Linked DNA regions of Oryctolagus cuniculus. The protein of the gene in region 5 interacts with the protein of the main gene of each other region in a biochemical or structural test. Links are inferred from orthologs where the notes say so. Each region holds a gene or a part of one and is shown on either strand. Other genes may lie near its edges.

Evidence for each region.
Region 1: of the proteins of JUN (region 5) and MAPK1, one has a biochemical effect on the other in vitro, tested with the Homo sapiens proteins (2 studies listed by BioGRID, with this or other methods). The link is inferred for Oryctolagus cuniculus from reciprocal best matches to the Homo sapiens genes JUN and MAPK1.
Region 2: the proteins of JUN (region 5) and FBXW7 form a complex in vitro, tested with the Homo sapiens proteins (3 studies listed by BioGRID, with this or other methods). The link is inferred for Oryctolagus cuniculus from reciprocal best matches to the Homo sapiens genes JUN and FBXW7.
Region 3: the proteins of JUN (region 5) and RB1 form a complex in vitro, tested with the Homo sapiens proteins (2 studies listed by BioGRID). The link is inferred for Oryctolagus cuniculus from reciprocal best matches to the Homo sapiens genes JUN and RB1.
Region 4: the proteins of JUN (region 5) and ATF2 form a complex in vitro, tested with the Homo sapiens proteins (4 studies listed by BioGRID and IntAct, with this or other methods). The link is inferred for Oryctolagus cuniculus from reciprocal best matches to the Homo sapiens genes JUN and ATF2.
Region 6: of the proteins of JUN (region 5) and MAPK10, one has a biochemical effect on the other in vitro, tested with the Homo sapiens proteins (7 studies listed by BioGRID and IntAct, with this or other methods). The link is inferred for Oryctolagus cuniculus from reciprocal best matches to the Homo sapiens genes JUN and MAPK10.
Region 7: the proteins of JUN (region 5) and PML form a complex in vitro, tested with the Homo sapiens proteins (2 studies listed by BioGRID). The link is inferred for Oryctolagus cuniculus from reciprocal best matches to the Homo sapiens genes JUN and PML.

What each region holds. Positions count from the first base shown.
Region 1 is NC_091452.1:28,976,450-28,980,551, reverse strand, and holds the start of MAPK1 (mitogen-activated protein kinase 1), read right to left. Parts: upstream 2,801-4,102; 5' UTR 2,662-2,800; coding exon 2,543-2,661; intron 1-2,542. UniProt on the Homo sapiens protein: Serine/threonine kinase which acts as an essential component of the MAP kinase signal transduction pathway. MAPK1/ERK2 and MAPK3/ERK1 are the 2 MAPKs which play an important role in the MAPK/ERK cascade.
Region 2 is NC_091439.1:11,998,755-12,002,995, forward strand, and holds the start of FBXW7 (F-box/WD repeat-containing protein 7), read left to right. Parts: upstream 1-1,441; 5' UTR 1,442-1,960; intron 1,961-4,241. UniProt on the Homo sapiens protein: Substrate recognition component of a SCF (SKP1-CUL1-F-box protein) E3 ubiquitin-protein ligase complex which mediates the ubiquitination and subsequent proteasomal degradation of target proteins.
Region 3 is NC_091440.1:67,325,201-67,329,172, reverse strand, and holds the start of RB1 (retinoblastoma-associated protein), read right to left. Parts: upstream 2,801-3,972; 5' UTR 2,603-2,800; coding exon 2,469-2,602; intron 1-2,468. UniProt on the Homo sapiens protein: Tumor suppressor that is a key regulator of the G1/S transition of the cell cycle. The hypophosphorylated form binds transcription regulators of the E2F family, preventing transcription of E2F-responsive genes.
Region 4 is NC_091434.1:66,033,607-66,037,106, forward strand, and holds part of ATF2 (cyclic AMP-dependent transcription factor ATF-2), read left to right. Parts: intron 1-537; coding exon 538-716; intron 717-1,621; coding exon 1,622-1,736; intron 1,737-3,500. UniProt on the Homo sapiens protein: Transcriptional activator which regulates the transcription of various genes, including those involved in anti-apoptosis, cell growth, and DNA damage response.
Region 5 is NC_091438.1:114,258,805-114,261,620, reverse strand, and holds JUN (transcription factor Jun), read right to left. Parts: upstream 1,616-2,816; coding exon 602-1,615; 3' UTR 501-601; downstream 1-500. UniProt on the Homo sapiens protein: Transcription factor that recognizes and binds to the AP-1 consensus motif 5'-TGA[GC]TCA-3'.
Region 6 is NC_091439.1:81,338,318-81,341,817, forward strand, and holds part of MAPK10 (mitogen-activated protein kinase 10), read right to left. Parts: intron 2,163-3,500; coding exon 1,980-2,162; intron 1-1,979. UniProt on the Homo sapiens protein: Serine/threonine-protein kinase involved in various processes such as neuronal proliferation, differentiation, migration and programmed cell death.
Region 7 is NC_091443.1:109,465,573-109,469,072, forward strand, and holds part of PML (protein PML), read right to left. Parts: intron 271-3,500; coding exon 1-270.

The DNA.
Region 1 (4,102 bases), on a different chromosome or scaffold from region 5:
GGATGGCCCAAGTGCTTGGGCCCTGCACCCCACGGGAGACCAGGAGAGGCACCTGGCTTCGGATTAGCGCAGTGCACCGGCCGTGGTGCGCCGGCCACGGCAGCCATTGGAGGGTGAACCAATGGCAAAAAGGAAGACCTTTCTCTCTGTCTCTCTCTCTCTCTCACTGTCCACTCTGCCTGTCAAAAAAAAAAATAAATAAATAAATAAAAAATTTAACCACGAAGTCCTCCATAACCCCAGCACTGTATTTATCAAAAGCCAAACAATGTGCAGTATAGATTAACGGCAGGTTGTATCACCAACTTGCAATAATCTGTAATCTGGGCCCACGATTCAAATGTCAATTATATTTGTTTTATTTCAAAAGAGAAAATTACAGCAAGAGAAGTTAGCACTTCAACTGGAGACAGAGGTTGGATTAGTCTACAGCAGTGACAGAAACAGCTTCTAAATCGACATCACCCTCAGATTAAAGAAAAAAATCTCATCAGCTAAGGGAAAAAAATGCTTTCAACTGACATATCCTAAAGATTTTTTTTCAGTTCATATTTTATATAATTAAAGGGGGGAGGGGTGTCAAAGGGCATGACGGGCAATCCTGAGCCTCTCATGAGATAGTCACTGGTGTACTCACCAGCAGGCATGACAACAATAACACGTGTGACACAGAAGGGATACCAGGGGCAGTACTTTCTTTATTTTTTAAATTATTTTAATTTTTTGACAGGCAGAGTGGACAGTGAGAGAGAGAGACAGAGAGAAAGGTCTTCTTTTTGCCGTTGGTTCACCCTCCAATGGCCGGCGCGGCCGGCGCACCGCGCTGATCTGATGGCAGGAGCCAGGTGCTTCTCCTGGTCTCCCATGGGGTGCAGGGCCCAAGCACTTGGGCCATCCTCCACTGCACTCCCGGGCCACAGCAGAGAGTTGACCTGGAAGAGGGGCAACTGGGACAGAATCCGGTGCCCCGACCGGGACTAGAACCTGGGGTGCCGGTACCGCAGGTGGAGGATTAGCCTAGTGAGCCGTGGCGCCGGCCTCCAGTACTTTTTCAGAGCCTAATTTCTTTCAGGCCTGACCTAATTTCTCTTTTCACTTCTTAGCTGGGGTGGGGGTGGGGGTGGGGGTGGGGGTGGGGGGAAGTCATGCTAATTTTCACAGCTGTATACTGGGGAGCAATTCGCTCCTAAAGCAAACGAAAACATGCAGGATTCAATTATTCAAAAATAATTCCAACTACTTCTATCTAGTCAAGGTGATTGGTAAAGCAAGTGCTCCATGGCATTTCTGAAGTCATCATCACTCAGATTTGCATACGTTTCTTAAACAGACTCGCACACAGCAGTAAAAGAGGCTAAAAATCCCGAAATTATCACTGATGCTATTTTAAGGGACGCTGGGTGTACCACAAAGATCTCAGGCTTCAATCTCAAGACTGACACTTTCTTCTATGACCTTAGAAAATTGGCACCTAACAGAGGGATATTACCAGCTTTTCCTTTGGGGTGGGGTGGGGGGGCTGTTCAAATAAAATACGGATGTGGCACACAGTAAGGGGCACGAAGCAGTCCACAAATTAGTGCTCAGTTACTTCATTCATCAGGAAAAGACACACTCATGAGACTGAGAAGCAGGAGAATCTACTTCTGCACGAAGCGCCTCTTCCGAGGGAGCCTTGCGTGTGACTGTGCAAAAAAAGTCCCCGAAAGGCGGAATGTATACACTGACCGCTAAAATACCAACAGCAAAACCCTCGGTCCTCGGGCCAACACGACAGGATGCATCTATACTGGTTAGGAGCTCACCTGAGAGGAGGGAAGAGAGGGAGAGGAAAAAAAAAAAAAAAAAAAGAGCAAATTGGGCCCAACTGCAAGCAGATTTAATAAACCAAGAGGGATGCCGGCTGCTTATTCCTGAAACGCACGGTAACACATGCATGCCCGTTTAAACATTAAAAAAAAAAAAAAAACTGCAAGACGAATTCTTCATACAAGCCACACTGCCGACCTGGGTGCTTTTTCGGAAGGCCTGCTCAGGCGAGCACCAGCTAACGACCGCTGAGGGACAGACACTTCACGCACAGCCGGCCGCCGTTCCGCACACACGCAGGGTCCAACCGCGTCCAAGCCCAGGGCCATGCATCTGACGGCATTCCCGGCTTCGCGAGCACCCCGGGGCGCGACGGATGCTTCCGTTCCCCTCCTGGGCTGGGGATCGGGAATCTGGGCTTGCAATCTACATTTCTGAAATCTTGGGGGGTGGGGTGGAGGAGCCGGGCTGGAAACCCAGCGGCTATCCGGTGCAGGGCGTCCGCGGGTCCCGGCCTCCGCCCCCCTGCGGCGAGCGAGGGCCCGGCCCGGGACCGGCCACCGGCCACGAGCAGCGACATCTTAAACCTCGAGCCGGGGCCCTGCCCGAGGGAGCCCGGGACTGGGGTCGACCGCTGCGCGGGAGGCCGAGACGCGGGCGAGGCCGCGGCGCATCCGCTGCAGCCCCGGGCGGGGGAGCGGGCCAGGCCTGCGGGGCGGGCGCCGACACTCACCACACCATGCCGTAGGCGCCCTCGCCGATGTACGAGAGGTTGGTGTAGCGCGGCCCCACGTCGAACACCTGCCCGCGGACCATCTCCGGGCCCGTGCCCGCCGCCGCCGCCGCCGCCATGTTGGCTGCCGGGCCGCCGCCGCCGCGCTGGGCTCGACGCTCCGCGGCCGCCGCTCCGCTCCCGCCGCGCTTCCCCAAGGGACCGCGCCGCCGTCCGTGCAGCCGCCGCAGCTGACCGCCAAAGAGGCAGGACGGCGCCGCTTTCGGGGAAGCGGAGAGCCGACGTCCGCTCGCCTCGACTGCCCGTCTCACTTACTGACTGACGGGCGGGCCCGCGGGCGGAGGGAGGGGCGCGCGCCGAGCAGGGCGCCGGGGCGGGGCCGAGCAGCGTGCTCGAGGATTGGCTGCCTGCGGCTGGGGGCGGGGCCGCGCGGGCCGGCGGAAGCGGCGAGCTCAGGGCGGAGCGCTGCGGCGGCGGCGGCGGCGGCGGCGGCGGCTGCGGAGGAGGCGCCGAAGGGCGCGGTCACGTGCGTTCGCTGGTGAGTCGGCGCGGGAGGCGGCTGAGGAGACGCTGAGAGCGGAATGGGGAGACGGGGCGTCACGGGGCTGACCCTGAGGGGCCGGGGCTGGGGCCGGGCGGCGAGCTCGGGCAGTGCGGGGGAAGACGAACGACGCTGCACACGTGGGCTTCGGGCCCTCTGGGGCCCAAACGCTCTGAACAACTTAGGAGGTGTGGAGATTATGTTAGGAACCAGAATACGTGGTCCAGACCGAAGAAGAGATTTGAGTACTGAGAACGTGTGAGACAGGAGAGGCCGAGTGGGTCTGCCCTTAGATCCGCCCTCGTAGAAGATAACTTCCGGAGAGAGGTTTCTCAGGCTGAGGTACTTTCTATGGAGAAATGTCAAGCAGAGTAAGGGGCAGAGAGGAGTGGGTTGAGACACCTGAGGAAGACTCGAGTTGCCACTGTGAGACCGAGACCCATGTTAGGCCGGATGGACATGAGCTTTGAGACGTAGAACGTACTGAGCTGGAAACACCAGGGTGGAATCGCTAAAACCAATAGTCACAGACACATGAGAGGCTGAAAATTAAAAAACTGCAATCTTGAAGCAGACGGATGCCAAGGAAGCTCAGGCCACGCGGTGGAAGATGGGCCAGCCACCGCCTCGGAACCATTTCCTTGCCGTCTGCAGAGGGAAGTGAGAAGGCAGACTCCCCTCATAGCCTTCAGAGCTGCTAATTCGAGACGGCTGGAAATCAATAAAGATTAGCCAGTCAGTCTGGCGCGTTAAAAGCCCTGTGGGAGAGAAAAAAAATAGTGTTACATAAGGGGAAAAAAGTGCTACACCCAAAAGTGAGTTCAAATGTTAGTCCGTGAAGCAGAACCCAATTTTGAAAACACCTAATTCTTATTCTTGATTCTGAAAGGACATTGCATCTCTTTTTAAAAACAGGATGATGAGGCCGGCGCCGCGGCTCAGTAGGCTAATCCTCCACCTTGCGGCGCCGGCACACCGGGTTCTAGTCCCGGTCGGGGCGCCGGATTCTGTCCCGGTTG
Region 2 (4,241 bases), on a different chromosome or scaffold from region 5:
CAGCTCTCCAAAGCTCTAAGCCAAAAGCAAAAGTGATTCCCGGCAGCGAGGCACTGCTAAGTTCTGCCCTTGCAAAACAGTCAAAAAATCCTTCCCCAGTCTCCCGGAGCATGGTTCCCTTCCCCCGCCCCAGCAACCAGCCTCCCTTTTCACCGAAGTCTCAAGCTGCGAGTCTCCCTCATTCATTCGTCAAACATTGGCTCGGTCTGACCACACGTTATCCGGCGCCGGGTCTCACCCCGCGCTCCAGGAAGGGTGGGGCGCCCGCTCGCTGGAGCAGGTGCAACGAAGCGGGCTGTGCAGGACTTCTCGACCAGGCCGGCTTTTTTCGAGGGCTTGTTCAGGGCCAGATGCCTCACCTTCGGCAGGTGCGCGCGGGAGTCTGGCCCCCGGGCCTGGGCCTTCCCCCGGTTCCCAAAGGAGCAGTCCCCACCTGCCCCGAAGGAACCCGCTAGAGAGCGAGCTCTCCCCGCCGCCCTCGGGTCAGGGGTAAGCTCAGGCGGCAGCTCAGGCTCCGCTCGGCTCCTCCCCTTCCTCTCTTCAGTTCTGACGCGGCCGTAGAGGCGGCCGCGGTGGTGGCGGCGGCGGCAGCAGCGAGTACCGCGGCCCGAGGCGCACCCACCCGCTCCCGGCTCCCCGACTTCCTCTTCCCTTCGAGCGTCATCAGAGCGCGCCGGAGTCGCCCAGGGCGGGGTGGCTAGAAAGGGAAGAAAAAAAAAAAAAGGCCAGCGAGGAAGCCTCAGAGCGGAAAGGAAAGGGAGGGGGAGAGGAGAGCGGTTGCTAGGTGACTTGCGTCATCGGTCGGCGCCGCTCTCCTCCCGCCCCTCTCTCTGGAGTGAGGCGAGAGCCCCGCACAGAGCGAGGGAGACAGCGAGCAGAGCTCCGGCGCTACTGCGATCGCCGCCGAGAGAGTGAGAGCGAGGGAGCATCGGAGGACCCAGCCCCCGTGCCGTGGCCGCCGCCGAGAACCTCGGCCCCAACCTGGGCCAGCGAGAGCCGCGGCCGCCCTCCTCTCCCCCCCTCACCTTCCCGGCCGGCGGCGGCGGCTGCACACGCCGGAGCCGGAGCCGGAGCCCGAGCCGGAGCCGGCGGCTGGGGGGCAGGGAGACGGCTCCCGCGGCGGGCCGGGACTTGGGAGCTGCTCCGCCGTGAGAGGACCTTGAGCCGGGGGCCGGAGCTTTTGCCTCGTCCCGGGGCGAGGGGCGAGGGACCCCCGAGGTGTAGGGAGGGGGGTCCCAGCCGCAGCGACACATGCGGGAACCGGGAGCGGGGGCGGCGCCGAGCGGAGCCGGCCGGGTCCCCAGCCTCGCGGCCGTCTCGGCCACCCGCACGGGGCCGTAGCATCTTGCCCCGGAGTGTATGAGCCGGGAGGGCCCCGAGCTCAGCCACCACCCCCCGGCCGGGGGGGCGGGGACCCCAATGTGAAGCGGCGGCTGGGGCGGCGGGCAGAGCAGGACCGGCGCCGCCGTCCTCTCCTCACCCACCCCTTCCCCTTCGCCCCCTCCGGGGGGAGGGGGTCTTTTCCTTCGGCCTGTCGCCGGCCCCCCGGCTCCTCGGCCCGGACTCCGGGAGGAGTTCTTAGAGCCCCCTCCCCCGCCCCAGCCCCCAGGGCGGCGGGGCCGGGGGGGATCCGGGGGGCCGGCCGCAGCCTCCACCCAGAGGAAACTTTTATAAGAACAAATTCTGGAGCCTCCCAGACGTGACTGTCCCGGGACCAGTGGCCCTGGACGGGCAGAAATCACAGCCTGAAGAGACCCAGGAAGAGGAAAAGAGGTGATCGGGGCCGCCGCCTCCTCTCCCCCCACCCCGGCGGCGCGGAAGAGACCCGGGTGGCCGCCTGCTTGGGCGACACGAGCAGCGATCGCTTCTTCCTCTGTAGCGAGCGCGCCGGAGCCTGCCGCAGTCCGGAGCAGGAAGGGAACCAGCCCGCTCTCTCAGCGCCACGGCTCTTCTCTAAAGTGTGAGTGGTCCTTCCGGAGAGGGGCCGAGGGGGGGGCCGGGGGCGGGAGGATGCCGCAGAGGTTTGTGCAGATGTTTTCCAGCGGCGCGGGGAGTGTGTGTGCGCCCCTTCTTCGCACAGGACGGCTCTGGGGTTTGTTGCCGTTGAGCTTGGACGAGCAATGCCAAGCGTGCAGGTTTCTCCAAGGAGGAGTTAGTTGTGTTCTCTTCCGGAGTGGGAAAGATTGCACCTCTCCGGGCAGGAGTTGGCAGAAGGGAAGTCGAGGAAGGCAGAGCAGGCGTGCACACAAAGGACATCGCTGTGCTCGCCCTTTTCCTGGTGGCAGGGACTGTGGGATGGCGCCGGAGGAGTTTTGTGTAGGGGAGGACCTCTCCCGTGGGTTCCCCCGTGCACCTCTGAAAGTCCAGTTCCTTGATTTGTTCGCAGGCTACCTCGAGGGGAAGCCCGGGTTTCATTTCCATACCTCTCAGTACAGAAGTTTTTAACCTTCTCTTTTCCTGCGTCCAGTTCCTCTGCATGTCAGGAGGACACTTTAACAGATCGCAGTTACTGGGGAAATTCTGGCTTCTTAGGAATCACAGCTTATTTGAGGCAGAGCATTTACTGCATAAACCATTTTATATAGGTTGTTACTCTTCCACCCAAATCCCACATGTGCCCTCTGTCTCTCTCTCTCTCTCTTTTTTGAGTAACAGGTTATAAATGACAGCACTGTTTTATTGGGAGAATGGGTTGAGACTTTGTTGTTTGATTTAGCTTTACTTTAACGATTTAGGAGGAACCTATGAAGCCATAATTCTTACAAGAATGGCTTTTCCTTGCATTATTTTAAAGTTGAAGTCTCTCAAATCTTTGACTCGATTTCAAATGTCCCCTCAGCGTGCCAAGTTAGAGGTACACAGAAGTAGTTAGCATTTCATGTATACAGACCTGGAGGGTTAGGCATCAGGGGGGAATTTTAGGTAACTAGACCCAGACAGTTCTATAGTGAGAGTTATGGTGCCTCCAGACCAGTAGCTGTGGATGGCCTTTCTGAAGTCATTGCTGAGAGATGCTTTGTGGGAATGAATGTATGCCCGGGGTTATCCACCCTAAATTCTCCACTCAGGATCCCGATGAAATTTTTAAAAAAACCTTTTCAGACTTAATGTTTTGACTCTGTACCACTTCTTTTTTAAAGTAATAAGTTCTGCAGATTTATTAGCCTCTGTCTGATGTAAGAATTCATGCATGTATCCCAAACTTACCTCCTTAGGCTAAAAGATGCATCACTTAAGAGCTTGCGTTTTGAGAAATACTAGAATAACCCCAGGTTTCTTGCCTGGTTATTCTTGTTTGCCATCATTTCCCCCCAGCTTTCTGTCTGAGAACTGTTTCTTCCATTTCTTTGACCACTGCCCTTCTCTGGACCTTCTCCAAGCATTTGTTTTTCTGTAGGTGCCTTGTTCTCATTACGCTTTTGTAAGGAACCTTGAAGTCTGTTCTAAGTGGGTACCGACATAAAACGTTGCATAGTGGATTGAATATTAGATTTAGAAGCAGCCAGGTATCTCTGGATGTGTCATCTTTTGTGACTTCGAGTAAGTCACCTTTTCTGTTTCTCACAGATGGACCAGAGAAAAAGCTGGTCTTACATAGACAGCTTTTTGGGAAGGAGAGAGGACAAACCAACAAAGCAAAGTTTGTGGATAATGCCGAGTTTAGGACCTATTTTGATTGCTTTCACTATAGATAAGTTAAGAATGATGGTAATATTTTAATATGTATTTGGGTAGAAATGAGGAAGTATTGGGGGTCTCTGCCTTTGAAGCACTTTTACTTAGGGGTGGAAGAGACAGTTATACAAATGGAACAAGACTACAGGAGAACAGGCCGGTATTAATCTGAGACCACCACGTGTGCCATTGCATTATCCAGTTCTTGCTAACAAGCAGGCTGCTTTTTAAAGGAGAGACTTATTTTGGCTCACAGCTCTGGAGGTGCTAGGTCTGGGGGCTCCTCTGATGGTGGCTTTCTTGTTGGCAGAGCATGCTGCTGCCAGAGGCGGCAGTGAGCACAGCTGTTTGTATTTCACTCCCAGGGTTTACCCTCTGTAGCATAGTTGAATCAAGTTCCCACCCTCTTAGTATTGCTGCCATATGATTTTGGGGGTTAAACTTCTACATGAAATCTCCCCTCCCACCTTGGGGGTGGGAATGGGGTGCTGGTGGTGTTTGATACCTGATAGGAAGTGAATGTAATTTTTTTTTGTTAGGGAAATGTTGGTTTCAGAGCAACTTGG
Region 3 (3,972 bases), on a different chromosome or scaffold from region 5:
ATTCATAGGTATTTATATAAAAGAATATTTAATAATTATAAAAGACTATACTACTGGTTTAGGGATTTACTAGACTATGCTTTTGTGTTGTTATTTTAGATATTCCTTCTACTTATAAAAACAAAAGTTTACTATAAAACAGTATATTGTGTTACACTTGCAACAGTCACATATATTTTACATTTATCACATCTTGATGCATCAAGAGGCCATTTGGGGTGATTGAGCAAGATAATCAAGGTTTATGTTAAGTACATTCTATGATATTCACACAATGACGACATCATCTAACAGTGCATTTCTCAGAACACGACCCTTCTGTTAAGTGGTACATGGCTGTAGTGAATCTATAGTTAGGGGGTCTATGTTAATGAAAATCTTTATGGGTATGAATAATCAAGAACAAAATGATATCTTGTATATCCTTGACTTGTAGGAAAATTTTTTATAATTCCATCATTTAAGAATACAAGCATATTTCATTTTCTTGTATTTTGCTTTACTGCACATTACAGATACTGCATTTTTTTTTTAATAGAAGGTTTTGGGAACCTTGCACATAGCAAGTCTATCAGCATCATTTTTTCAACAGCTTGGGTGGTTGCTAGCAATTTTTCGTAATAAAATATTTTTAAATTAACGAATGTACATTGTGCTTTGAGACACAGTGCTAATGCACACTTGAGAGACTATAGTATAGTACAAAAATAAGTTTAAATGCATAAAGAAACCAAAAACTTCGTGTTACTCGCTTTATTGCGATATTCACTTTATTGCAGTGGTCTGGCATGGAATCTGCCATTTCTCCGAGGTCTGCCTGTATACTGTGCTGGATGAAAAATGAAAGAAACAAAAGCCTTCTTCTCCCAGGGGACGGCCAGAACTTCATTTCTTGTTACCATACAATAATTGAAAGTGCTTCTTTAGAACAGGCATACATTACTGCTCTTTTCATGGACAAGTACAATGGCATTTAATCAAAAACTAAAGTGATATCTTCTCCCAGCATATCCCTCAGACCTGGCTTTGTTTTTGTTTTCACTAGTGAGTATTATTTTGAACTGACACGTTGTAAGATAGTCCATTTAAATATGTTAATTTTTAATAGCTTTCCAGAGTCCATTTCCAAAATTCTATTTCGATGTTTTACAATTCTGTCTGAATTCAGCTAAGATTCCATGGAGTGGAAGGAAAGATACTATTCAGGGGGCACAAAAACAAGACTTGGTGATAGACTAGAGCTGGGGAGGGAGTGCCACTGGAAAACCAGCGGCATTCCCGGGCAATGGCTAGAACAAGCACTGACAATAATCCTAACTCTGCCCGTTCTGTACTAGCAACTTCACTGTAAAGCCTCACGATCAAGATGTTGCAATACAATAAGCATCTTTCTGTCACGTAGCACTGCGTCCATGAGGACTTGCTTAAACGTAGAGATTCCACTCGCTAAGGGGTGAAGGGGTGACAGCGGAGTTCCAGGTGAGCAGAAGAACACCATTAATTTCATACCAAACCCAAACAAAACCAAAAAGAGGGGACACCAAGCATCCCTGCTGGCTCAAAGTGAAAGGCAAAATGTAATAACGAGGCATGCGGAGGCCTCGCAAACACGCAAGCGAGTTCTTCCATCAGAAGAAAAAAAAAAAGAAGAAGAAGAAGAAAAAGAAAATGGAAAGTTTGGTAACTTTCAAGCGCTTCACTAAATGTCTCAACGAAACTTTAGCCCAGAGGCCAGTTCGTGTAAAGAAAGTTAGGCTCCACCAGTGTCTACAGCCGGCTTTAAATCCTCGAGGCCTCCACACATTGTTTTAGGGAACCCCACAACGCCTCGCGGCCGTGTAGCCCGTGGGCAATTCACACCTAACACCCTGCCCTTCACGTCCAAGGCCTTCCCGGGCCTCTCCCAGTTCTGAGCTTCGGAGGTAGCGCACGCCCAGAGGAAAGAAGAAAAAAAAAAAAAAAAAACAAAAAAAACAACTTCCAACTGTTGCGTCGCAGGGGATCGAAACAGAAAGTCAGGCGACCACCGAGGACTCCAGATCTCCACTGGAGAAAAACTCGCCAACACACGTACCATTTTTGTACTTTAAAAAAGAATTTTTTTTTCGCTGCATGAGGGCTGGTAATCAGCCGTCGGCTGCGAGCCGCTGTCTCGCTAGAGGAGACTGCACCTGTCACTTCGCTCAGGGACCCGAGCCCCACCCGCCCGACACCTGTCAAGCTGGAGCCGAGACCCCTCCAGCAGCCCTCTCCCCGTCGCTCACGATCCCGGATCTCTGTCACCGCCCCGCAGACGCTCCGCTGCCGTGGAGGAGGCAGGGAGGGACCCTCGGACCATCCCGCCGCCGGGACCGACCCCGGCGAGGATGCGCCCGCGCCCAGCCGCCGCGGCTCCCGCCCGCCCGCCCGCCGCACCCCCGGGACTCCCTCCTCGCGTGCCGGCCGCAGCGGCGGCGGTGCCCGCTCACCTGGCCAGAGGCAAGTCCTCAGGACCACTGTCCTGTTCCGCGTCCTCCTCAGGAGGCGGCGGCGGCGGCGGCGCCGGGGGTTCCACCGCGGCGGCGGCGGCGGCAGCTGCTCTTCTCGGGGTTTTGGGCGGCATGACGCCTTCTCAAGGCAGGAGCAGCGAGCTGAGGAGGAGCGCCGAAAACTGACGGCGCGCGCGCACCTCGGGGCACGCCCCGTCCCCTCCCGACTCCCGTTACAAAAATAATTTGAACGTCCCCTGAGAAAAACCGGACGCGCCCTCCCCCGCCCGGCAACCGAGCGCCGCGTCCAACCGCGGGAAAACGTCACTTCCGCCCGCGGCGTCACGTCCGCGAGGCTCTCGGGCCCGCCGGCGTCTGGGGGGAACCGGGGCGCCAGGCGGTGCGCGGGCCGGGGCGCGAGGTCGCGCGGGAAGGCCGGCGCGGGTCCAGGCACCCCGCTGGGAGCCCTGGGTGCTGCCCGAACGTGGTTTTCTCCGAAACTGCCCCCCGGTGGGCCGGTGTCGCGGCTTTACAAAGAACCCGGTGGGTGACACGGGGGCCGCGTCGCTATCTCTGGGTCTGGGCGGGGAGCGCTGGGCGAGGGCACCCTGGGCGGGCACGCCCCTCTCCCTCTCCCTCTCCTCACCCTCACCCTCCTCCTCCTCCTCCTCCGTGGGCGGCGCCGTCCCTCCCCGCCTCTCTCCTCCCGCCCGCTCGGTTTAGCCTCGCATCTTTGGCCAAACAACAACAAATGGGGAGCACCGCGTAGGTGTGGAACTCTGCTGGCTTCTGGCGCTTGGGCAGTGCAAGACAATAGCTGCCCTTTTTGGGGGGATCGCTGGGTGGAGAGGCCGCGGCTGTGGCCATGAACAGACCCTAGCTTATAGAAGGTCTTAATGGTGATGTAAAAAGAGGCGGCACCATCCAGACGTCAAAGGGAGGTTTTTGGAGGGGCAGTGGCAATTGAATAGAAGTTTCCTAGGCCAACCCATTATTTAAGGAGCGCTTGCTGTGTACCACAGACTGTGTGGAGCACCTTCTGTAATTATCTGGAATCCTCCGAAATGGCCCTTTAAAAGGAGGGCGGGGAAAGGGTACAAGTGCACTTAAGAAAGTTCATGAAAATGACATTAAAAGAGGGATTTATTCGTGTGCCAAAAACGTTTTGAAATCCGTGCGTATTGGGGATCTTCAAAAAGTTCGTCGAAAATACACATTCTCAAAAACTAGGCATGGGTTTCAAAAGTGTTCACGCCCAAATAAACTTGGCTGTTAATTCCGTTTTTCCACGAACTTTCTAAGGTATACCGCCTGGTGTTAGCCTTTCACGTTGTGAAGGGAGACGCAGGCTTGGAGAAGTTAATTAATTTGACCAAAATCACAGAGCAAAAGGAAGGCAGAAGGCTTGCACTCCACTTCTCCGTTAGGTTCTGTCAATGAAGAAGCCAAGCAGGAAGTGCAAAGGCACAAAGTCAGCAAAGAACTTAGTGGAGCCACCACCTTA
Region 4 (3,500 bases), on a different chromosome or scaffold from region 5:
TTTTGTATTCAAGGTATCAGTATTACTTGGCCTTTTGTTATTGAAGTTTTTGATATAGGAAAGATGGCCTAAGATTAGTTAATAGTTTAACATTTCCATTGTTGAATTTGTATTAATCATAGCGAAATTTCTCTGGACCTGTTTTCTTTTTGTACAGTAAAATGAGGAAGTAGACTTAGGTGTTCCCTTATAGATTTTAAAGTTTTCTAATTCTTGAGAGTGGATCGTGTTTTTACTTTTTTACTAAAATTCTCTTGGAATTATAGCCAAATTGTCCAACCTGACTTACTTCTGAATTGACATGAAAATAAGTTTTACTGAAAAAAACGCTGAGGTTTTTAAAAATTAATTGAACATTGCCTGTGAACCTTTACAACTACTTCTAAAATTTCTTTTTAGTTCACTTGAGATACTAATTTGAGAGGTTAAGCATTACCCTATGAATGTGTTTGCAAGTGTGTTATGTTCTGTTCACTAAGGTACATGCATTAATTGCATTTTAAATTCTACGCTTTTTGTTATGTCTTTATTAAATAGGAGGTACCATTGGCACAAACTGCACAGCCCACATCAGCTATTGTTCGTCCAGCATCATTACAGGTTCCCAATGTGCTGCTTACAAGTTCTGATTCAAGTGTAATTATTCAGCAGGCAGTACCTTCACCAACCTCAAGTACTGTAATCACCCAGGCACCATCCTCCAATAGGCCAATTGTGTAAGTGATTAAGCCCAGTCATTGAACTGTGTATGAATTAAGTTTTTCTTGTTACGATTTTTCCTAAGATAGCTGATTTAAGATGATTTTTTATATTTTCATGCTCTTTAAGGCAAAACATATAAAATTATTCTATTACCAGATGACACTTCTTTCAGTTCTTAAATGCAGCTAGTTCTCAGGGCCCACCAGCATTGTGATATAGCAGGTTAAACTGCCACTTAGGATGCCAGCATCCCGTATTACAGTTTGAGTCCCAAATACTCCACTTCCCATCCAGCTTTGTTGCCTAGGAAGGCAACAAAAGATGGCCCAAGTGCTTGGGCCCCTGCCACCCATGTGGGAGTATCTGGATGGCATTCCTGACTCCGGCTTTGGCCTAGCCCAGCCCTGGCTGCTGTGGCCATTTGGAGAGTTAGCCGATGGATAATGGTCTGGGGACTGGCATTGTACCCTCGCAGATAAAGCTGCTGCCTGTAGCACCAGCATCCCATATAGGTGCCAGTTAAAGTTCTGGCTGCTTCACTTCCAGTCTAGCTCCCTGCTAATGGCCTGAGAAAGCAGTGGGAAGATGGCCCAAATCCTTGGACCCCTGCACCCATGTGAGAGACCTGGAGGAAGCTTCTGGCTCCTGGATTTGGTCTTGCCCAGCTATGGCTGTTGTGGCCATCTGGGTGGAGAGTAGGCCAGCAGATGGAAAATCTCTGTCTCTCCCTGACTCTCTGCGTAACTCTTTCAAATAAAATAAATCTTTAAAAAACATATTTAAAGATAATTTTATTTCTGAAGTTTACAGTGCTTAAGAAATTTATTAATATTGTAATAATAGAAGTAAAAATACTATTGTATTTTTAAGTGATGGTTTCTTTGAATCTGTTTAATTTCATTTCTTTTGTTCTTCATAGTCCTGTGCCAGGCCCATTTCCTCTTCTATTGCATCTTCCGAATGGACAAACCATGCCTGTTGCTATTCCTGCATCAATTACAAGTTCTAATGTACATGTTCCAGCTGCAGTCCCAGTAAGTTACAAATTTAGACTATAGTAGATCTGGTCTGTATAAAGTAATCAGAAAATAGAGTTGAAGCTGCTGGACTGACTTATGAAAACTGAATTTAAGAAAGTACATAATAGTGGTAAGTAGTGTTTATTCATTGATATTTATGGTAATAACATCTACCATTCAGTGCAAACATAATTAAATAAACTATTTTCCTCTCCCAACAATCTTGTTTTCCTTACTTTTTACACTATGAACTTTATTCCTTATTTACCCCATTTCTATTTGACTGAATTTGTAAAATTCAAATAGTACTAGAACACTTGTCAGGTAACTTTGGTATTTCAGTTAATTTAGAAATTCTTTATAAAAACACAATCTTTGATCTTTGATGGTCAAGTTCAGTTAACAGATTTACTTTGATGGCCCATGCATTCTTAAGAACATTCTGAACATTTGCGGTACAGACGTTTGCAGTGGTTAAGATGCCAGAATGAATGTATTCAGGCCCCACTCCATTTCTAATAGCTTTCTGTTAATGTTCACTCTGAGAGGCAGCAGATGATGGCTCAAGTACTTGGGTCCCTGTCACCCATGTGGAAGACCCAAATAGAGTACTTAGGCTCCTGGCTTTGGTCTGGCCCAGAGCTGGCTGTTGTGTGCATTTGGTGATGAACCATCAAGATGAAAGATCTGTTTCTGTTTTTCTGTCACTCTGCCTTTAAAATAAATAAAACAAATAAATTTTAGCATTCTAAAGTAATAAGTCTCCCATTTTCTTAATGAGAAGATCCAAAAGAAAAGTTTTGTAAGGGCAAGTCAAATATATATAAAATTTGAAAGACATAGACAATTAAATATCTAGTTATTGTATTTTTTTGTTTTTAGATTTTATTTTTTTATTTGAGAGGTAGAGTTACAGTGAGAAGGAGAGACAGAAAGGTCTTTCTTGTGCCAGTTCACTCCCTAAATGGCATCAATGGCCGGAGCTGCATCGATCCGAAGCCAGGAGCCAGGAGCTTCTTCTGAATCTCCCACATGGGTGCAAGGGCCCAAGGATTTGGACCATCTTCCACTGCTATCCCAGGCCATAGCAGAAAACTGGATTGAAAGAGGAACAGCCGGGACTAGAACCAGCACTCATATGGGATGCCTGTGCTGCAGGCAGAAGATTAACCTACTGTGCCACAGTGCCAACCCCTAGTTATAGTACTTAGTAGATTATAAAATATTTAAAAACACATTGTTTAGGACAGGCATTTGGCTTAGTAGTTAAGGTACCACTTGAGATGCCTACATACAGAATCAGAGTAACTAGGTTCAAGTCCCAGCTCTGCTGCCAATTCCAGCTTCCTGATGATGCACATTCTGGGAGGCAGCAGGTGATGGTTCAACTAGTTGGGTCCCTGCAACCCATATGGGAGCCCAGTGGAGTTCCTGGCTCCTGACTTTAGCCTGGCCCAATCTTGGTTATGGCAGGCATTTGAAGAGTGAACCAGAGGATGACAGATCTCTCTGTCTCCTTCCCTCTCTCTCTGACTTCTGCCTTTCAAATAAATAAATAAATAACATTGGTTAGAATAATAAAAATGAGAAATATGCCTTTTTTCCCAACTTTCACATGTGAATTCATGAAAACAGTTTTATTCAAACTTTTCAAAGGTGTCTTTCAGCATTTCAGATTTTCATCTGAGAACCGCTTTTTGACCCATCTAGCACAGTTTTCCAGAACACAGTTTACTTCTTCATCTAAATTATTTATGACATGACAGCTTTTAATCTTTG
Region 5 (2,816 bases):
TACAAAGGCATGAAGCTGTTTATTGACAGTAATCAGCTTTCATCAAATTAAAAAATAGATATCTGTACATACACGGTTAACGAAGGCAGGCCAGAAAGAGTGTATCTGCAGGCTCAGCCTGGCCCTCCCCGGCTCCCTCCCCGCCCCCCGCCGCCCCTCCCCAGCCCTCCCGGTCGGGTTCTTAAGGAGTACTACAGAAGCGATCTACAGTCTCTATGGCAGTTTGTCACCCCGCCCCTCCCCCCCTTTAATACTGAATGAGATCGAATGTTAGGTCCATGCAGTTCTTGGTCAATGTTAAAGAAAAGTCTACCGTCGTGATGGCGCGGGGACAGCCCTTCCGCCGAGCGGGGCCGCCCGCAGGCGGCCGCTCCCTGGCTCCGCGCCAAGGGGAGCGCGCGCCAAGTCCTTCCCACTCGTGCACACTGGGGGCGCCGTCAGGACGCAACCCAGCCCGGCTTGGATACCCTTGGCCTTAGTCCTCGGACGCGTCTTTTTTATTTTTTTCTCGCTGTCGCAACCGGTCAAGTTCGCAAGACTGTCTCTCTGTTGGTTTTGTTTTCTTTTTCTTCGTCGCCCCTCAGCCCTCGACAGTCTGTCCTCAGAACGTTTGCAACTGCTGCGTTAGCATGAGTTGGCACCCGCTGTTAACGTGGTTCATGACTTTCTGTTTCAGCTGTGCCACCTGTTCCCTGAGCATGTTGGCCGTGGACGCCAGCTCCGAGTTCTGCGCTTTCAAGGTTTTCACTTTTTCCTCCAGCCGAGCGATCCTCTCCAGCTTCCTTTTCCGGCACTTGGAGGCGGCGATGCGGTTCCTCATGCGCTTCCTCTCCGCCTTGATCCGCTCCTGGGACTCCATGTCAATGGGGGACAGGGGCGGCGTCTCGCCGGGCATCTCGGGCACGGTCTGCGGCTCCTCCTTGAGCGCCTGCAGCCGCGGGTGCTGCACGGGGATCTGCTGGGGCAGGTGGTGCGGCGGCTGCGGCGGCGGCGGCGGCTGTTGCTGCTGGGGCTGCGCGGGAAAGGCCAGGCCGGCCGCGCCGTAGGAGGGCGCCCCGCCGCCGCTGCTCAGCGCGCTCGGGTTGAAGTTGCTGAGGTTGGCGTAGACAGGCGGCTCGCTGTGCAGGCCGGCGCTGAAGCCGCCGCTGCCGCCGCCGCCGCCCGCCACCGAGGCCACGGCCGGAGCCACCATGCCCGCCCCGCTGACCGGCTGCGCCGCGGACGTGACGCTGGGCAGCGTGTTCTGGCTGTGCAGCTCGGCCAGGGCGCGCACGAAGCCCTCGGCGAAGCCCTCCTGCTCGTCGGTCACGTTCTTGGGGCACAGGAACTGGGTGGGGGTCGGCGTGGTGGTGATGTGCCCGTTGCTGGACTGGATGATGAGGCGCTCCAGCTCGGGCGACGCCAGCTTGAGCAGCCCCACGTCGGGAGAGGTGAGGAGGTCCGAGTTCTTGGCGCGGAGGTGCGGCTTCAGGCTGCCCACCGGGTCGGCCAGGTTCAGGGTCATGCTCTGTTTCAGGATCTTGGGGTTACTGTAGCCGTAGGCGCCGCTCTCGGTCTGCAGGAACGAGGCGTTGAGGGCATCGTCGTAGAAGGTCGTTTCCATCTTTGCACTCATAGAACAGTCCGTCACTTCACGTGGGCTTACTTTGGGCTGCGCGCACAAGTTTCGGGGCCGCGACAGCGCGCTGGCGGGCGGGGAGCACCCCGCGCCTCCCCGGGCCTCTGGCAAAGGAAAAGTTTCGGAGCGCGCGCGCACCCGCGGGCTGTCTTCCCCCTGGGCGCCCCGCTCACCGGCCCCCGCTCCCGGGAGCGGCGGGGTTCAGACGCTCGCCCGCACTCCTCGGCCGCTCGCGCGCGCCTGCCCGCCTTTGAAAAGTCGCGGTCACTCACTGCGCGCCCTTCGGAGGCTCCCCGGCGGCGCGGCGCGGTGCCCCGCAGTGGCGGCGGGTCTCGGCCGCCCGGACTCCCGGAGACTGTGCCCTCTTCCGCTGCGAGGGGCAGGGGGCTCCCGGCGGCAGCGGCTCGCGCCGGTCAAGTTCAGAGGCCGGGGCGAGCGGAGCCGCGCGCGCGTCGCTCCTCTTCGCTCCTCTCTCCGCCGCCTTGCTTTTCTTTGCTGCCGCCGCGGCAAGCCCAAATAGCGCAGGAAAGGTTTGCAAAAGTTCGCTCCGGGACTCCGGGCCACTTGTCCCCGGTCCTCCCGGCTCGGAAAGTTCTTGGCCGCTGCAGTCGCCGCTCTCCGCGGCTGTCAGCTGCGCTCGTGCGGTGGGGCTCTCCTCCCCGGGGGCGGCTGGAGAAGCAGCAGCTCTCCAGGTGCTCCCCCCAAACACCAGCCCGGGATCCACAGGCGCTAGCGCGGGGCAGTTGGCAAAGCAACGCAGCCGTGCGGATCGCACTCTACGGGCGTCCTGGCGGGGCGGGCGGACTGTGTCTGTGTGTCTGTCTCCCTCAATCCGCGCACCTCCACTCCCGCCTCGCCGCTTCAGCCACACTCAGTGCAACTCTGAGCCCTTATCCAGCCCGAGCGCAACACTTATCTGCTACCAGTCAACCCCTAAAAATAGCCCATGATGTCACCCCAAGGCCTTCCCATTGGCTCGCGTCGCTCTCTGGGGGGCGGGCCCGCCCGTCGCCATGGAGACCCCACCCTAGAAGATTCTTCTTCGGGCCCGCGGAGGCTCACGGGATGAGGTAATGCTCCGCTGCCCTCCTACAGTTGGGCCCTTCTTTCTCCTCCTCTCCCCCTCCCCCTCCGCGCGCCTCTAGCCCCTCTCTTCCCGGTCCCCTCCCGGCCCGTCTTTCCCGGCCCGCCCGGTGCA
Region 6 (3,500 bases), on a different chromosome or scaffold from region 5:
TATAACTTGTTACTTTTATATTAAAAATAAAACTAAATAATCATAAAAATGTAAAATAGTTTAGTATATAAAACACTAGTTTACAAAACTAAAATAACTGTAGAGGTTCAAACTGAGTTGAAAATAAACTATAGAAACTTGGAATTACATTATGAAGCATGATATTTGAGTTAAGAGTTTTTCTATAAGTGTTGGCATAACTATGTTATAATTAAATGAGGAGTTTGCTGGATCCATATTGTTTTTTGTTTTTCTTTTTTTTTGACAGGCAGAGTGGACAGTGAGAGAGAGAGACAGAGAGAAAGGTCTTCCTTTGCCGTTGGATCACCCTCCAATGGCCGCTGCGGCCAGCACACCGCGCTGATCCGAAGGCAGGAGCCAGGTGCTTCTCCTGGTCTCCCATGGGGTGCAGGGCCCAAGCACTTGGGCCATCCTCCACTGCACTCCCTGGCCACAGCAGAGAGCTGGCCTGAAGAGGGGCAACCGGGACAGAATCCGGCGCCCCGACCGGGACTAGAACCCGGTGTGCTGGCGCCGCTAGGTGGAGGATTAGCCTATTGAGCCGCCGCACCGGCCTTGAATCCCTATTGTTATTGCAAGTGTTTTTATAAGAAAGGATAACTTTTGGATAATATCTCAGTATTGTGAAGCCATAAATTCTAAAAGATCTCTATTTGAAGTATTAGGTCTTTTTCAAGCTGCATATAGGAAAAAGTTTATCTTAAAAAAAAAAAAAAAACAGATGTGGTAATAATTTAGTTCATTGCCATTAAGAGACCGTAGTGTCAACTGTAGTAGAAAATTCAATTATGTAATTTAAGCTACAAGAAAATAGAAACAAAGTTGCATATTTAAAACCCAGCAGGTAAAAGTTTAGAGGAGACAAAAAGATCCTAGAAAATAGTAGTACCACATTTTAGCTTTTCTGTCTTATTTTAGCCTAACTTAGCTATTTATTTAAATTTGTAAGTTAAATCTGTAGATAATTACACACTGAACATTTGCTTTTAAATTTCAAAGTATATATCCTCTTATTTTTAATAATTTGTAGATATATTGTTAAAATATTATATTACATATTATATTTAATAGGGATTGAGCGTTTGCCATCATCTAGGTATTATTCTAAGTGTTTGACAAGCTATTATGTCAATCAATCCTGTGAACAACCCTATATGGTAGGAACTGCATACCTTCATTTGTTAAAAGAAGTGAGGGTCAGGAAACTTGCCCAGAGTCCCACATATTTTAAGGAATAAAGGCATAATTTAAACCAGGCAGGGGAATAAAATATGATTCTTTCAAAATCATATTCTCAGGAGTATCTAAAGTATAAGAATTAGAATATTTCTGTATTATACTCCAGCTGCTGTTAAATTTATTCCTGGTCTGCAAATGAAACTGCAACATTCTTAGATCCATTTTGTGTGTGAAGGTGTGGATCAAGATTTGTTGTCCAATTAGATAACTGCTGACACAGTAGGAAAAAAATCACTAATAAAACTGTTTATATTGAATAAAAATGTACAGTTGAAATCTCAATTACTACTCTAAACTGAAAAAAATAGAGGGTAAGCACTATACAAAACACAACAAAAGAAAATCAGACATCTGCCTCTAAGGTTTCATAACTAATAACTATTTTGAAAATCTTTCCCAGATAATAAAAAGTAAGAACATTGATTTCAATATATATTGATCACATAGAGTTACACTTGAGATACTAAATTTAAGATTTTAAATACACCAGGAAATAGTTAACACACAGCACTGGGACATATTTTATTCTTATTTTTCCCTCTGAATATCCCAACAATTCTAAAGTTCTTGGCTACAACCCAACCCTTTGTAAGAAGATATTTTAGGAAATGACTCTCCCTAATGTGAGCATAGTTCTAGCTGAAGAAAAGTCTTCATATCAACAGGCTTGCTTAGCTGGTCACTCCCACAGCGGCCCTCTGCCACCCAGACCGGCATACCTTTGAGCTTATTGTGCTCGGAGTCTGCTGGGAAGAGGGAATCTGGAAAGAGCTTGGGGAAGGTGAGTCCCGCATACTTGGGCCGGTTCTCCACATAGTTTCTTACTGTAGGCTGCAATTTCTTCATGAATTCTGGACACGGCGTTCCTAGTTGCTCAATGACTTTGTTCCACTGGTCGATATCTGAGAATTGAATAGTTAAGGGAAAACAGAAGTGCAGACCACTAGCTCATGCTTTCCAATAATAAGAGGCTAACTCTTCAGAATCCTGGGCAGCCATCAGTACAATTGGGATTTTAATAAAGCAAAAAGAGACAAAACTGTGAAACAGAATTGTCAGGGCAATGCATCCTCCCTAGATTTCAAATTCTGTTTTCGAACTCAGAAGTTTTCAGGGAGCTAATATTATTTAACAAAACAGGATACCATGAAACAATCTTTGATTGGTAAAGCTAACATGTTATTTAAATAACACAAGAAGAATCTCTTACAAAAGGATAAACACCAATATAATCATGTGATTTAGAAAAAATATATAATCCCATGATAGTGACATTTTATCTCCTGAAGATACTTCAGTCACTTATACATTTAAAATGGCAAGTACACATCTATTAAAAATGATAATCATTTATTGTCTTCCTAGATTATTTTTGAGAATATTTTCTCTTCTCCAAAACCCAAGAAATTTATCATCTGTTAATGAGTTCTGCTCATATGCCTTACACATGGGGTCAATAAATTTTTTTTATAGTAAAAGAACTCATTAATTCTTCATCAAAGATTTAGAAATTTATACTATTCATACAAGGAAGTCACCATTGCATACCTACTGTTCTTACTTCTGAATATGTTTCCAATCACATATGAGGGTAGACAGAGAGGTGCTTCATTTAAGAGAGCGACTTCCACCCAAAGACATCCAAATTCAGAGAGTATGGTAACTATGAGGAATTCTATATGAAACATGCCAGCTCTCTGTGAAAAATTACACCCTCAAAAATTAGAGGGTAAATGTTGACAGACATACCCACTGATTGAGATTCTATTTTTTACGCCTCATTAATAGTTCATGTACCAGAGCATCGAAAATAAGAAACACTGCCCCTGAATACTTTGAAGGACCAGCTGGAAGCTATTGATTTTAGACAGATTACCTTGTCATGTATCATGAATGACAGAGACCTTGGAAATTCTTTTTAAATCAATATCACAAGGAGTGTTCTCTACTACATTTTTATTCTTTATGCTTTAACATTAAGCTGATTAATTTAATGCGATATATGATAGCTTCAGGACCCTTACCCTAAGATTACTAATTGTGGTTTGTAAAGTCTTTACTCATAGCTATTCGAGTGAGTTAGACTATAAAAGATTAGCAACCTTATTGAAAAGACAAAATTAACTACATTCAACAAAAACTAATATATAATGCAAAGACAGTATGTAGGAGATTGAGCAAACATAAAATCAAGTTAATTTGCAAATCCTCTTCTACCTCCATTATATGGGCTGAATAAA
Region 7 (3,500 bases), on a different chromosome or scaffold from region 5:
TGCACGTGTGCCACCACCTGGCGCACGCGCTCGCGGATCAGGTCCTCGGCGTCGGCGCGCGCGCGGCCCAGCTGCCCGATGGCCGCGCGCACCTGCGCGAGCGCAGCCCCGAAGGCGCCGCCGCGCTCCCGCAGCGCGCGCGCCGTGGCGTCCAGCTCGTCCTGGCGCTGCAGCACCTCGGCGCTCAGGTCGCACTTGAGGTCGCTGTGGCCGCTGTCCAGGAGCGCACACGAGCAGCACAGGGGCTTGTGGCAGCCCCGGCAGTAGATGCTGCGGGAGAACCGTCTGGGTTAGGGCTCGCCGGCTTCTTCCCAAACTGCCAGACCCCACTGGCGTTTGGCGCACCTGTTGGGACCCACCTCACCCCCTACATCCCATATCCGAGTGCCCGAGTCCCAGTCCCAACTCCGCTCCCATCCAGCTTCCTGCTGAGGCGCACCCTTGGAGGTCGCAGGGGCAGGCTCAGGTCATCGGGTCCCTGCCCCCCACGGGGGTATCCGGGCAGTTTGCAGCCCTGGCTGTTTAAGGGCTTTTGGAAGCAGACGGAAGATCCTCCCCCCGTCTGCCTGTCTCTCTGCCATTCAGATGAAAAAAAAAATCCCCTAGATAAAAGTGCCAGAGTTTGAGTCATAGTAGGTGTGCAGGTTCACGCTTTCCCGACGCAGCGTTCATGGCGCTGGTGCCAGGGCCCAGAGCAGCACACGAGAGTAAAGCTGCGGCGGCCTGTGCCTCCAGCTGCAGGACGCGGAGAATGCGTACAAAAGGAATTCGCGGAATTGATGTTTCCTTTATAAAATAAACTTATTTTTAAGGGTTTATTTATCTGAAAGGCAGAGCAGTAGAGGGAGAGAGAGAGGTCTTCCATCTGCTGGTTCACTTCCCAGATGGCCGCAATGCCCAGGGCTGGGCAGGCCGAAGCCGGGAGCCAGGAGCTTCCCCTGTGCTTCCCAGCCCCCCAGGGCCCCTCCCCCATCTTCACTCTCCCCCTACCCCCACTCCCCGCTGAAAAACCTCCAAAAATCATTTGTTCTCAAGAACAAAGTGTTTTCAAACTACCAGGGTCACTGACGTCTCAATAGGCGGGGAGTCTCCACGTGAACCAACACGCCAACCCCGCCCCCTGGTGAGGTGCAGGGACCCGGGGCAGCCTGACGCCCCCTGCCCCCCGCTGGTGAGGTGCAGGGACCCCAGGGGCAGCCTGACGCCCCCTGCCCCCCAGTGAGGTGCAGGGACCCCTGGGCAGCCTGATGCCCCCTGCCCCCCGGTGAGGTGCAGGGACCCCAGGGCAGCCTGACGCCCCCCACCCCCCGATGGTGAGGTGCAGGGACCCCGGGGCAGCCTGATGCCCCCTGCCCCCCACTGGTGAGGTACAGGGACCCCAGGGGCAGCCTGACGACCCCTGCCCCCCACTGGTGAGGTACAGGGACCCCAGGGCAGCCTGACGCCCCCCACCCCCCGATGGTGAGGTACAGGGACCCCAGGGGCAGCCTGACGACCCCTGCCCCCCACTGGTGAGGTACAGGGACCCCAGGGGCAGCCTGACGCCCCCCGCCCCCCACCCCCCGATGGTGAGGTACAGGGACCCCGGGGCAGCCTGACGCCCCCTGCCCCCTGCTGGTGAGGTGCAGGGACCCCAGGGGCAGCCTGACGCCCCCCGCCCCCCACCCCCCGCTGTTGAGGTGCAGGGACCCCAGGGGCAGCCTGACGCCCCCCGCCCCCCACCCCCCGATGGTGAGGTACAGGGACCCCAGGGGCAGCCTGACGCCCCCTGCCCCCCGCTGGTGAGGTGCAGGGACCCCGGGGCAGCCTGACGCCCCCTGCCCCCCAATGGTGAGGTACAGGGACCCCAGGGGCAGCCTGACGTCCCCCAGCCCCTCTCTGGTGAGGTGCAGGGATCCCAGGGGCAGCCTGACGCCCCCTGCCCCCCGCTGGTGAGGTGCAGGGACCCCGGGGCAGCCTGACGACCCCTGCCCCCCAATGGTGAGGTACAGGGACCCCAGGGGCAGCCTGACGCCCCCTGCCCCCCACTGGTGAGGTGCAGGGACCCCAGGGGCAGCCTGACGACCCCTGCCCTCCACTGGTGAGGTACAGGGACTCCAGGGGCAGCCTGACACCCCCTGCCCCCGCTGGTGAGGTGCAGGGACCCAGGGGCAGCCTGACGCCCCCTGCCCCCCACTGGTGAGGTACAGGGACCCCAGGGGCAGCCTGACGCCCCCTGCCCCCCGCTGGTGAGGTACAGGGACCCCAGGGGCAGCCTGCCGCCCCCTGCCGCCCGATGGTGAGATGCAGGGACCCCAGGGGTAGCCTGACGCCCCCCGCCCCCCGATGGTGAGATGCAGGGACCCTGGGGGCAGCCTAATGCCCCCCGTCCCCCACTGGTGAGGTGCAGGGACCCCGGGGCAGCCAGACCCTCCCTGACTGACGTCCATCATCCACCAGAACAGCCTGCTCCCCCCTCAGCAGAGCCGGGGCCCCGCCCTCCTTGCTGCACGCCCCAGAGGGAGGGGGCATCTGGCCTGGAGCCCTCCTCCCTCCTCTCCTGGGGGCTCTCGGCCTGCGGGGCTGGGAGCCAGGGGGAAGCAGCAGGAGGTCCCCAGGAGCTCCCTGGGGGCTGGGACACAGCGCTCACCCCATCCCCATTCCCTGTCCCTTCTCAGGCGGCTCAGGGCCACCTCTGCTTCTCTCAGGAGAAATCCTGCCTGTGGGTTGGGGATACAGCACCCCCCTGCCCTGAGTGTCTCCGGGGAGCCCGGGGCATGGACACACTGCCCCCCATGTGTCCAGCGCCCCCAGCTGCTGCAGGAGTGGGGAAGGGTGGGCGGTGCAGACCACGCAGGCGCCTCCAGGACTGCAGGGGCAGGGTCCCGGGTGACGGTCACTGTCACTGTCACTCAGCTCTGGGTCCTCACAGCACTTGGGTGGAAAATCCCCACACAGACCCCACAGATCCTGCCTCATCCCAGACCCCAAGTGCTGAGAGTGAGAGGGGAGAGAGAGAGAGAGAGAGAGAGAGAGAGAGAGAGAGAGAGAGAGATGGAGAGAGAGAAAGACAGATACAGAGAGACAGAGATGGAAAAGGGGAGAAAGGAAGAGAGATAGAGAGGGACAGGGAGAGGCAGAGGGAGGGAGAGAGAGGAAGAGGGAGGGGGAGAGATGGAGAGAGATGGAGAGAGAGAGGGAGAGAGACATGGAGAGAGAGAGAGACTCAGCCTGAAGCCAGGACGGCTGGGGTCTCTGTAGGAGGCACACGGCCAAGCAGGCAGGGGGACCCCGGGGAGCCCAGGGCAGCGAGCAGCAGAGGTCCTGCAGCACCCACAGCCCCAGTGGGGAGGGGGTGGGGCACGCACAGGAGGAGTGCACCCTGCAGACGCCTGGTGCTGGGTGGAGGCCTGGAGAGGTGCCTGAGCTGGCTCTGCCCAGGGTAGGGTGGGCTGGGGAGGGGTCTCCTCCCTGAATCCATCTCCCCCATGATGGGCACCCTGTCCCCTGTGAGGGTGGAC